Saccharomyces cerevisiae S288C: one gene and its partner. The protein of the gene in region 1 purifies or fractionates together with the protein of each later gene. This does not show direct contact. Each region holds a gene or a part of one and is shown on either strand. Other genes may lie near its edges.

Region 1 (8,734 bases):
AAATAAAATCGCTTTTCTTCTAGAGAATTTTTCCGTGAGAAAGTAAAAACACATAATACTAGCTTAATAAACTTTTCTTTCCACCACCCATAGGATACGCTAACAATTTTTGCTGTCAACTGCTTGCCATTTTGTTTTCTTCCGACTACTATCACTTAGGGCTATTGGCAGTATATGCGTAATTTTATCAATTACCATACTTGTCAAACATAGATCAGGAAAAATATTAACGTTCCTGTCAATCTAAGACTTGAAGATTACAGGACTTTTTTTTTTCTTACTGTATTTTTCCGTAGAGTGCACCATTCGGCAGATGGATCGCGGGGAAATTGAGAGTTTATGCAAAAAAATCCGAAGGTGGAATTAAATGGGTCCCGCTTTGGAAAGCCCCGGATTTAATCCCCCATTAAGGCAAATTACTCCTCATCCTAGGTGGAGAAAAGAACCGGAAAAAAATGCAGTACCTTTTTTGTTCCCATTTCTTTTCCAAGTAAACAGGCGGAGAATCAAGCTGCTGCAGTTAGTTCTCAGAGTTCACTTAACGTTCTCCTGTAATAAACATAAGGAACAACCATCACCCCACACTTTTATCTCTTCCTCACTAACATTGTGTTAGCTTGCATGTTCTTTGAGACTAATGACCGATTGTTTGATCTCTTCTTCCGATTATTGCTGGTCCGATCCCTTGAGCATCGAAAACCAAACGACTGTTTAAGATCTGTAATTGATTAAGACCCATTGGCGATTACTCACTCATCGGCAAAAAAAAATGGTCTGAACATGCGTTGAAAATTTTGCTCCCATGAGATTTTTTGTCTCATGTAGTAATTATTTTATTTCTTGAGCAATCTGAGCTTCAACAAGACAGAAAACGAATATGGCAACTGTTATTTCGTTATATAGTGTTGCTGGTGACCGAACACAAAAATGATCTTAGAATTGTAACTCAGGGAGCATACGAACAAAAGATTATTAGCATTTCGTACTTTCTAAAAGTTGAAGAAGTTGGCATTTGTTGATTTTATCATATCCTTAATAAAAAGTTGACGTCAGCATACAATTTGAAAATAGCAATATCGAATGCCTATTCCTCCTTTCGTTGTTTGAGTTTACCTAATATATCGATGCATTTTTGCAAAAGTGTGGTATTGAGCACGCGGTACTAGAAGGAAAAATCTCTTCTTTTTACTACGTGTCCTGCATTTCTATCATGGTGAAGATAATCATTATTTTATGTCAAAAATTACTAGTTAGCTGTCAGAATTTTTTGTTTAAACATTGTTGAATTCCTGTCGCAGGTTAAAGAAATCGAAAAATAGCCAATGAAGTAGACAGAATCATTTGACCAGTTAGGTAAATTACTGTGTCAAATAATTCAACAACGCGTTTCTACGTGGTGGGCAGAAGTCCCTGGAATACTTTAGTGATGGTACACTTTTCGACATTAGAATTGTCTCTGAATTGTCACCCCGCTAATAAGTTATTTGTATGGACGCCAATAAAACCATACAAACGCGGCTTTCTGGTACTGCGTTTAATCTTGCATGAACTTTTCCGTCCATTGGGGCGAATATTCACTGTGCGATGTATACTACCTTTTTAGCTACTGAAGCCACTCTTAAAGCATGATTTTTTTCCTTCCTGCCATCTAAAGGTTACTTACGGCAACCTTTCCATAAATTGTTGCTGAAATAACATATAATAGTACCAAATGGGCCTATCAATAAGTTTACAGCCTACAAGATTTTCTTCCACTAAAATATATTCGAATAGGACTTTGGCCAAAAACTGTTCATTAAGGGGCAGACTGTTCATGTTTTCTCGCAAATTACCTTTTTAACAAGGTGAAATTATTTTTTTTGGGGAATGCTAACTGTTTATCATCTGCCAGGAAAGAAAACTTAGATCCTCTTTACCAATCGCCGCCAGTAGTACATCATTTCTTATTAAATAAAAACATTTTCATATCATTAACCCTTTTTCAAACATATATGGGATGTAGTTTGCCAAGGATGATCATAAAGGCCTAATATGATCCCCATTTTCTTTTTATTACCAAAAATTCAGGTTTATTGACAAGCCTTCTCTACTCTGTCGCAATGCCAGTTTAACATTGAGGAGTTTAGTAGCTTCATTGTAATGAGGTGACTCTATTTAATTTCAGGTAGAAAAGCGCAGTACCGAGGTGAGCCCTGCATATGTACACTGATTGTGAAAAGCTCCGGCTCATAATTAATTTTTTTGATGAATTATAGAGTACTTTGTTTATAATAGAAGACTTTTTTTTTCCTCCTAAGGTAGCTTATGCGAGAAAGAGCGCCTACTTCGCTTCTAGCGCTACAAAACAATAACTTTGAAGGGTAAAGCTGTTAACTTTTCTTCAAAGCTTAGAAAAGAAAAAAAATTAATAAAAAATTATACTTCTATTGGCAACATCTTGCCATACAATATAAATCGTAAGGGTTCATTAAAAATATAAAATCAGAATTAGAGTGCATTTCAAATGCACAAATTAGAGCGTGATCATGAATTAATAAAAATGTTCGCAAATTATTTGGTGCTGAACATTCTCTTGTACAATGGCTTATCATCGTGAGCCATTTCTTCAGCGTCGTAGTTGGCACCTCTTCTAGATGGTGGAACCCATGAGGCAGACTTCCATGGTAGAACACCTTCTTCCCACATGGTGTTGACTTCTTCCAAAGTCAAACCCTTAGTTTCTGGAACAACTAACAAAACATAGAAGAACATGAAGACCAAACAGCCCATGAAAACGTAACCGTAGTAGAAGTTAATAGCACCAGTAATAAATGGAGTGAAGAAACCAATCAAGAAACCCCACAACCAATTAGCAGCTGTAGCAATAGACATAGCCTTAGACTTGACTCTCAATGGGAAAGTTTCAGAAACAACGACATAAGGAATTGGAGCCCATGTAGTAGCAAAACAGAAAATATAGAAACAGGCAAAGACAATCATACAGTTACCAGCACCCTTGGAAGATGGTTGGTCTTGACCATTTGGCCATAATCTGGTGACACCCACGGAAGCATAGACAACCATACAAGCAGTCATGGATGCAGCACCCCATAGCAAACAAGTACGACGACCATATCTCTCAACAACGTAAATACCAACAAAGGTGGAAGCAAAGTTAACAATACCCAAGACAATAGAGGTTTCGAAAGAGTCACTCAAACCAACAGCCTTGAAAATAGTAGTACCATAGTAGAAGAAATAGTTATCACCTGTCAATTGTTGTAGAGATTGAATCATAGCACCCATGATCAAACGCTGAAGGACCTTTGTCTTGCTACTAAACAATTCACCCCAGGATGCATTACCAGCTAATTTCTCTGCCTCTACACCAGCCAAGACAGCTTCGACTTCAGCCAAAACAGATGGATCATCAACAGCAACCTTGTTAGAAACGGCAATAGAACGTTTGGCTTCTTCGATCTTACCGACTTCAGCCAAATAACGTGGAGACTCTGGAACAAATGTCATACCACCAATCATAAACAAAGCCCAGGCAAAACACAAACCTAATGGAACTCTCCATTGCACAGAGTTGGAGTAGTTCTTAGTACCGAAGTTGGTACAGTAACCCAAGAAAATACCGGCAGTAATCATCAATTGGTAGCAAGAGACTAAAGTACCCCTTAAATGCTTTGGGGATACTTCAGAAATCAACATAGGAGATAAAACGGCAATACCACCAACACCCAAACCGGAAATAATTCTACCGATGAAATATTGGTACCATTTGTTGATAGATGCAATTTGAATAATAATACCGATGATGTAGATGACAACAACGACAATCAAACCCACCTTACGACCGTACATATCACCCAATTTGGAAAGAATAATACCACCAATGGCACAACCAATGTTGAAAATGGAGACAATCAAACCAGTTCTAACCTTAGACAAATAATTAGTACCATCTTTATGCTTCATACCAAATCTTCTGATGAAATCGGTTTGATTGATGAAACCAGAAATGGTACCAGTATCCCAACCGAAAACGAAACCACCAAAGGCGATCATGATACACATAATAGAGACAGTGACATAGGCAGAAGCTGGTCTCTTTGGAATTTCAACGACAGGTTCGTGCTCTTCACCTTCACCATAAGCTTTTATTTCATCTCTTTCAGCCTTGTTTGATGGTGTAGATAAAACCGAGTGGGAGGCTGAGTCAACAGCAGAGAGATGCTCCACAGGAGTTTGCTCTGCAATAGCAGCGTCTTGTGACATTTTTTGATTAAAATTAAAAAAACTTTTTGTTTTTGTGTTTATTCTTTGTTCTTAGAAAAGACAAGTTGAGCTTGTTTGTTCTTGTTTTTTTATTATTAAAACAGAAAAATTGGAAAAAAGAAGAAGATAGTTACAAACCATATGTCTTTTCTCGAGCTCTTTTTATATGTTTCTGTGCTTTCTATATTGTATACCCATTTGCTCTCCATTGTCTGCAAGCCAAAATCTGCATACAGATCCGAGACATCTCTTGGATTTTTTTCAATGAAGGCACGGAGGGCATCTGAATAATCTCAATGAGTAAGAAACGAAATTTTTTAAGGAACATTTTCAATTTGCCTACGGACTATTCTCTGCAAAGTTCCAATAATTTCTCCTTTTTTTCCAGCGTTTAAAGGAAAAAAACTGGTTTTCGATGCCGGGGCCCCACAATGTACCTGCACTTTTTGTGGGGTAAACGTGGATAAAACGAATCTCCGTTGCCTAAAAAACATTTTTTTTCGTACGGTCCCCTCTGCGTTCAGGAAAAAAAGAGATCGGGTGGTGAGGCTAGGTAGCGTAGCCCCTTGGAGAAGCATATGAAACATTTGTCTTGGCGCCGCACACAGGAACTGCGCACTTCTTTTTGTCCTAGGTTGCTTATCACACCATATGGTGCACCCGTGCTCGTTGTCACTGCCTTTTTTTAACAATTCTTCCTTTGTTCCTCTGAAAGCACGGGCCGGCGCACTCCAATTACCCCTACATTAATTTCCAAGTAGTAGCAGGGGGATGAACATGTGAACATGTTGCAACAACTGCGGTGTCTTCTTAGGCTTGTGTTCGGAATTTCTTCCTCCTGTTTCGGTGTGTGTTGCTTATTTTTTCCTTGCCCCTTTGCGGCATCACAGCAGCCGTTGTTCCGTATTCCGGCTGATAAGCATGGAAAGATTTTCCAACAATACTCATGAAAAAATGTGTTGGTGTCTGAGTAAGCTAAATTTTCCCAAATTTGATGCCATTCAACCCGAAAACTTAAAATGTAAAAGGGGTTGAGATAGTGCAGCTGTGTGGCAAAAGTCAAAAAAAATCTGTTCCTTTCAAGGAAATGAAAAAAGGAAGGAAAAAATGTCCAGGACAGAAAGGCCATCCCCTTAGTAAAGAAACCTGCTTAGAGATTCTTGAGGCTCGAAAATGGTTGGTGGTTGGACTTCTTTTGAGTTTTCCGTCCGGATTTCAAACGAAATCCATCATCACGTTCCTAGCAACAAGAGGATTATTGGACGATTGTCGGGAGTAAAGATTACTCAGTTGGTTTTCTAACTCTACTGCGCACTTCTTCGTGGGTATAACAAATTGCACACACATACATTCTTATTATTTGATACTGCTTACGATAACCGGAGACTTCTTTTTTTTCCTGTTCGGCTCTCGCCGATGGTATGAAGTTAAATGGTAGAAAAATTGTTTGTTTTGTTTACAAACTGGATCAAGAAATGTTAAAATTCTGTTTGATATCATGTACCAATGTCTTTTATTAACTGTATCAGAGAATTATATATATAAAGTCATAAATCTTGTGTATTATTTATCATTATTGACTAGCACATCGAATCTTAAAATACACTATTATTCAGCACTACGGTTTAGCGTGAAATTATTTCTTGCCGAACATTTTCTTGTAGAATGGCTGGTCATCATGCATCAATGCATCAGCATCGTAGTTAGCACCTCTTTGAGATGTTGGAACCCATGAAGCAGACTTCCATGGTAGAACACCTTCAGCGTACATATCATTGACTTCTTCCAAAGTCAAACCCTTAGTTTCTGGCACAAAGAAGAAAACGTAGAAGTAGGCGAAAACCATACAGCCCATGAAAACGTAACCGTAGTAGAAGTTAATAGCACCAGTAATAAATGGAGTGAAGAAACCAATCAAGAAACCCCACAACCAATTAGCAGCTGTAGCAATAGACATAGCCTTAGACTTGACTCTCAATGGGAAAGTTTCAGAAATAACAACATAAGCAATTGGAGCCCAAGTGGTAGCAAAACAGAAAATATAGAAACAGGCAAAGACAATCATACAGTTACCAGCACCCTTGGATGAACCATTACCTTCACCATTTGGCCATAGTCTGGTGACACCAACAGAAGCGTAAACTACATAACAGCAGACCATACCAATGGCACCATATAACAAACAGTTACGACGTCCAAAACGATCGACAGTGTACAAAGAACAACAAGTAGAGAAGAAGTTGACGACACCGAAAACAATAGAAGTTTCGAAAGAATCACTCATACCAACAGCGTTAAAAACGGTAGTACCATAGTAGAAGAAATAGTTATCACCAGTCAATTGTTGTAGAGATTGGATCATGATACCCATCATAGTACGCTTAAACATGGCCGGCTTACCAGTGAACAACTCACCCCATGATGCTGAACCAGCAGCTCTAGCTTCTTCAACACTAGCTTCAATAACTTCCAACTCTTGTTGAATGAATGGATGGTCTGGGGCAACCTTGTTAACTTTGGAAAGAGATGCTCTTGCTTCGTCAATTTGACCAGCTTCAACCAAATAACGTGGGGATTCTGGAACGAAAGTCATACCACCGATCATAAACAAAGCCCAGGCAAAACACAAACCTAATGGAACTCTCCATTGCACAGAGTTGGAGTAGTTCTTAGTACCGAAGTTGGTACAGTAACCCAAGAAAATACCCAAGGTAATCATCAGTTGGTAACAGGAGACTAAAGTACCTCTCATTTCCTTAGGAGCGACTTCAGAAATCAACATAGGAGATAAAACGGCAATACCACCAACACCCAAACCGGAAATAATTCTACCGATGAAATATTGGTACCATTTGTTGATGGATGCAATTTGAATAATAATACCGATGATGTAGATAACAACAACGACAATCAAACCCATTTTACGACCGTACATATCACCCAATTTAGCCAAAATAATACCACCAATGGCACAACCAATGTTGAAAATGGAGACAATTAAACCAGTTCTAACCTTAGACAAATAATAACTACCATCTTTATGCTTCATACCGAATCTTCTCAAGAAATCAGTTTGGGCGACGAAACCAGAAATGGTACCAGTATCCCAACCGAAAACGAAACCACCGAAGGCAACCATAACACAACAGATAGACACAGTGACATATGCACCTTTACCTGTATTTGGGTTGGTAAGTACTTGGTCGGCCTCAGCTTGGAAATCATCTTGAACACCTTTTTCTTCAGGCATGTTCATTACCTGAGAGCTATTCGAAGGCAGGTCAGCATTCGAATTCTCACTTGACTTTTGTGGAGATATTAAATCTGGAGTTGAATTCATGATTGTTTAACTCAGATGTAAATTTTGTTTGTGATTCTATTATTTATGAAAAGCTATTAAGTAAAATTATGGAATATTCATGCTGAAGATAAAACAGCGCCTGTATTTATATGCAACCCCCAAGCGAAAAAAAACTTTGACTTTTCTTCTCTTCTGGAGAAATTCTCTGGGGATATAGTCCCCAGATTTTTTGAGTGGGCCCCCAATGTCCCACATCGTTATTGAGTTGTTTCTTTCTCCAGAAGGTCGTTGTACAGTCATTATAATGGCGGTCAGTATAATGACCTCCGGAAATACCAACATCGGGGAAAGCGGAAAATCTGGAAAAATTCTCCACGAAGCTTTCTCTGTGATAATCCGCGACCGAGAGTTTAACCGAATCCGCGGAACGAGATATTCCGTGTTTATTGCGGTATTATATGAGCCGGACGAATCCGGAAAAACTACGTGACAGGAACGATGACCGGGCAGCAGGCGAAGCTGGAAGAATATAGCTAAGAAAATGCGCACGGAAAAAAAACACTCCCGAATTTCTCCGTGAAAAGAGCCTACTAGGGGATAATAGTAGGTATCCGTTAATATTACCGAACTATTGAAAACCTACCAAATGCAAGAAGATGCAAACGAGCTAGAATGTTCCGCGAATAGCTCATCTTACAATTTTTTTCTTTTTTCAAGAAAAAGAAAGTATTTTTTTTTCCTTTCATTTCATTGCTCCTCCTCCAGGTGTTATCTCGAGAAGATGAAGGCTGTCTGCGATGACGAATAGGAAAGAAAAAATTTTCCTTAATTTTGCTTGCTTAATTCTTATACGAATAATTCTTCTTAATCAACATCGGGCTTCATATTTACCAACACGCATTATTGATTAACAATACTTGCCTTAGGTTGAAATTGGACGCCGGAAGAGAATTTATAGCTAGTCAGTGTTCTTCGGCGTAATTTTATTAATGGACATACAGTGTACTTTTCAAACTACACCGCCATTTGATATACCGGTGTAATTTTTGATGAAGTGTCAGAATTAGCCGCACAGTTAATTGAACACTTCGCTGTAAGGTGTGGATACAGATTAGATAAGAGCATTAGGCACCACATTTCTTCAGGCTTTTCCTGATGCTGGTTTGGATA
Region 2 (4,585 bases), on another chromosome or scaffold:
TTTGGCTTTCTAATTTATCCAGCGATAGGAAAATATGATCAGAATATTTTGGTTCTGGAGAAGCATCATCTAATTTACAACGTGGATTGATCAATTCAAATGGATCTAACAGGGCACCACATTTGTCACATTGATCCCCACGAGCATCATCGTAGTGACATTTTGGACATTCACCTTCCACGTAACGATCAGCCAGATAAGAATTATGAACTGGACAGTACAATTGCTTCATAGATTGTTCTTCTAGATAACCATTCGAATTTAGCTTTGTAAAAATATGTTGAGCAATCTCCGTTTGCTTGTCCGTCGTAGTTCTACCGAAATAATCAAATCCAATTTGGAACCACTTGTAAACGTCACTGTGGATTTTGTGATATTTGTCACATAATTGTCTTGGTGTCACACCTTCCTCCAAAGCTTTAGTTTCCGTGGCAGTACCATATTCATCAGTACCACAAATAAACAAGGCATTATAATTACGTCCCTTACAGTAACGAGCAAAAATGTCTGCTGAAAGAACACTACCGATGATATTACCCAAGTGTGGAACGTTGTTGACATAAGGTAATGCCGAAGTGATCAAGATGTTTCTTTCGTTTGGCTTAGGCAAAATTTCTGAATCCTTTGGCTTAACTGTTAAGTCAGCTTGGATTTTCACTGCGCCGATGTTTTTGAAAGAAGAAGAATCACGTGGAACATGCTTTTTAGCCAATGCTACAGCGTTATGCACTTTGGATGGCAATTCTGGGAATTTAGAATGAACTAAAGAAGAATTTAGAGCATAAACGTTAGCAAACAGGATCAAATCTGTAGTAGTCAATGGTTCTTTTAATTCGACCAAGTAATTTTCAATGGCCTTATTTGTCAAAACCTCGACATGTTGTTGAGGTAATTCTTTATGATATAACAGGTTTTGTAAAGATGCCAATGCAAATTGATACTTGTCGGAAGTTTGACCTTCAAAATCATCCATGACATATCTTAGAATAGCGTTAGCATCAAACAAAAGGAAAGGTTCCTTTGTATTGCGCAATTCCATGGCAGCATTATCATTGTCAACTTCAGGCTTTAAATTTTTGCTTGCATATTCAAGTGCTAGGGCAATCTTCAAATTGTTCGCTAACTGCAAATGGGCAGGATGTTTCTTCGATTTATCAAAGGAAATGAGGAAAGACATGCTTGTTGTAAATTTCCGCTTTTTTTTCAAGTTTTATTCCTCCACAAAGATGCATATCAGGAAGCAAATCATCATTAACATTAGACATCGAAGAAAATTTGTCATCGTCTTTTTTTTTTTTTCGTTTTCTCTTTCGATAAGTTGCGTACAGAAATTTTTTCTGCCTCCGAAATCATTCGTGCCTCGTGATATTGAGAAGAAGTGACTATACTCGGGCAATGCATAAATGATCGTTTCGGCGGCTAACAAAGATAATCATAGCAAGTCGACAGATCGATAGGATACACCATTATCATCACGCTACGCGTTCTCGGGAAAGCTTTGACTAGAATATTTTTCAAAGTTGAATTATATTATGTTAATCTTTTGACTTCATGCCTTTTGAATTCCCCTCCATAGGTTCCCATTTTTGACTTCAACAATTCCTACTTCAAAATCCCTGGTTAAAGAAGCCTTTCCTCAGTTTGTACAACTATGTCCGCTGTAGCTAAAAAGTTAGCATAATTCATGTTTTATGCCTGAGACGTTTTAAACTAGTACTTAATCTCTATCAATAAACTTAACCCAGAAGGTCTCAAGATTAAACATGTTATTTTTTCGTCCTTTTATTGAAAAAAGTTGAAATAGCAGCGTCGGGTAATACCAGGAATATATTTTTATCGGCACGGCTACATAGCGAAGGGTCCATTAGTAAAAATGAAAAGAAATTCCACAAAGTTAGTGAGGGGAAAGTCCTACAGAAGGTCAAAACAGTTGCTACCGGGTTCAAAGTACTCAATTGAAAATAAACACTGCTACAAAAATGCATGCTACAAACTGGTTCGACGATTGGAACCCAGAAGCTCTTTATAGAGACGATGTCACTGGCTGCGATGACTGTTCCGAAACTTCGCCAATTCCAAAGTCTGGTATTATATGTGGACCGATATTAAGACTCATCAACATGGATTTTAAGGAAAAAACCTACGAGGGGTCTATTATGGTGGTAGTTAGAGGCGAGGAAAACTTTCCGAAAATTACCTATCAGCTAGGGCCCTCTTTGCCCTCTGAGGATGAAGACATCGAAGTTAACGAGGCATTCTTCGAAGGTAAACTTTTTCATAAGGACATTTTAAAAGATGATAATATATGGTTTTACAGGTATGAGATTAAGTTGCCCATGTCCAACTATGAGCAGATGGTAAAATATGCTGTTGACGGTACTATGGAACCACATTATAGGTTCTTCGTTCCCTCTTTCACTCAAAATTCGAACGTTATCTCCTATTCATGCAACGGATTTTCACTGAGCGTAGATACATCGAAATTCAAAGGTTCTCTATGGTATGATGTCCTTAAAAAGCATCGATACGTTCATTATCATGCCATTCTCGGCGGCGGAGATCAAATTTACTCCGATAATATTAAACTGCATGCGCCAAATCTTAAAGCTTGGCTGGAGACAAAGGACCCAATTAAGAAGTATAATACTCAGACCACTGAAGAAACAAAAGAGCAGATTAGGCAGTTTTATTTAGAACACTATTTAAACTGGTACGGTTACGGTCACTGGTATGGTTCTACCCCAAAATCCAAGACCACCCAAAAATGCTTTGTCAAGTCACTAGCTTGTATTCCTGCCATTAATGTCTGGGATGACCACGATATTATTGATGGCTATGGATCGTACAACGATTCCTTCATGAAGACTGAAAATTTCCTCACAGTGGGAAGAATGGCTTACCGATACTATATGCTTTTCCAGCAGCATGTCAGTGCTTCTAAACAAGATGGCGATGAGTATGCTTATCTCAAGAGCAAACAATGGATTCTAGGTAATGAAAAAGGGAGTTCTTATATCGGTGAAAGGTCTCACTCAATATTCTCTTGGTTGGGTCCGAAAATGGCCATGTTAGGGTTGGACTGTAGAACTGAGAGGAAATTACACGAGATTTTCTCAGAAAGAAGTTATTCCTTAATTTGGGAACGTGTCGAAAGGGAAATAAAAAATTTAAAAGGTGGCCACTTATTGCTGATGCTCGGTATCCCGATTGCATATCCAAGGTTAGTATGGTTAGAATGGCTTTTTACCTCAAAACTACTGGCTCCAATTAAATATTTATCTAAAAAAGGGATATTTGCTAGTGGCTTCGTTAACGAATTTAATGGAGATGTAGAACTGTTGGATGATTTAAATGATCATTGGTGCGCGAGACATCATAAAAAAGAAAGAAACTACTTGATAATGAAATTGCAAGACATAGGTGCTAAATATGGCGTCAGAATAACCATATTATCAGGCGATGTACATTTGGCATCTGTTGGGAGATTTAGGGCAAAAATTCATAGACACCATCTCATCATGTCTGAGGAGAAGGAAAAGGAAAACACCAGAATTATTGAAGAACCAACGAAAGACGTAAGGCTGATTTTTAATATCATTGCTAGCGCCATAGTAAATACCCCACCGCCAGATGCAATGGCCACGCTATTGCAAAAAAGATGTCGCTTGCATCATTTCGATTTGGAAACGGATGAAGATGCCGTACCAATTTTTGCCAAGGAAGTGGATGGAGTACATAAACGTAAAGAATCATGTTTCATGAACAAGAGAAACTGGTCAGATATTATACCTATAGAAAACCTGTTGAATAATCCCCAATTGAGTAAAGAATTAGGCGTAAAGGTTGGTGATATAGTCATTCCTGGTATCATCACAGAACAGCAAAAGCTACAGAAATTGGAAAACGATGACCAAATTAACTCTTATCCAGTAACTTCTGGTGGCTTGTTTACCACCATTCATGTTGAAAGAGATGCAAATCAAACAAACTCACAAACTGTGAGCTACTGTTTACCCATTCCAGAGTTAACAGTTACCTGCGAACGGTTGTCTCACAAGGGTATCAAACATCTGAATATCACATAGTTTAGTTTTGTGATAATTACAGATTTTTATTTAGCAGTTCAAACTTTTCTATTCATTACTAACGGACTGTCAAGTGCGATGCTGTACCGGAAGTAAATGTATATACTGATTGTTGAAAAAAAAAAAAGCTCAGTCGCGCGTGGCCTTTCTCTATGGAGATTTCTCAAACGATATTAATCCTGTATATCTCTATTAATTTAGTTAATACATACACGATATATCGTCGCTTTTATTTTTTTTTTTCAAATACTTCTTCTTCCTAAAAGAGTTAAAAACTCTTCTCTTGTTTTATGAGCCCTAAACCCTCCAAGCATACAAGAAGTTACCGTAGAAGATCCCGTTTTTTGAATGCCTCTTGAAACCATGCACATATGAGAAGCTTCCATAACAACGGCTACACCTAATGGTTTTAGAATATCACTTAGGGCCATTGCAATTTGCTTTGTAAGTCTTTCTTGAACTTGGAGCCTTCTCGCATACATTTCTGCCAATCTGGCCAA

Evidence for each region. The genes of interacting proteins can lie anywhere in the genome.
Region 2: the proteins of HXT6 (region 1) and YGR266W purify together in Saccharomyces cerevisiae (affinity purification with mass spectrometry, with the first as the bait; one large-scale study listed by BioGRID). This does not show direct contact.

What each region holds. Positions count from the first base shown.
Region 1 is NC_001136.10:1,157,058-1,165,791, forward strand, and holds HXT6 (hexose transporter HXT6), read right to left. Parts: upstream 4,264-8,734; coding exon 2,551-4,263; downstream 1-2,550. Other genes in the region: YDR344C (uncharacterized protein), read right to left, coding at 4,949-5,392; hexose transporter HXT3, read right to left, coding at 5,900-7,603. UniProt on the Saccharomyces cerevisiae protein: High-affinity glucose transporter.
Region 2 is NC_001139.9:1,020,677-1,025,261, forward strand, and holds YGR266W (uncharacterized protein), read left to right. Parts: upstream 1-1,979; coding exon 1,980-4,085; downstream 4,086-4,585. Other genes in the region: methionine--tRNA ligase MES1, read right to left, coding at 1-1,177; FOL2 (GTP cyclohydrolase I), read right to left, coding at 4,328-4,585.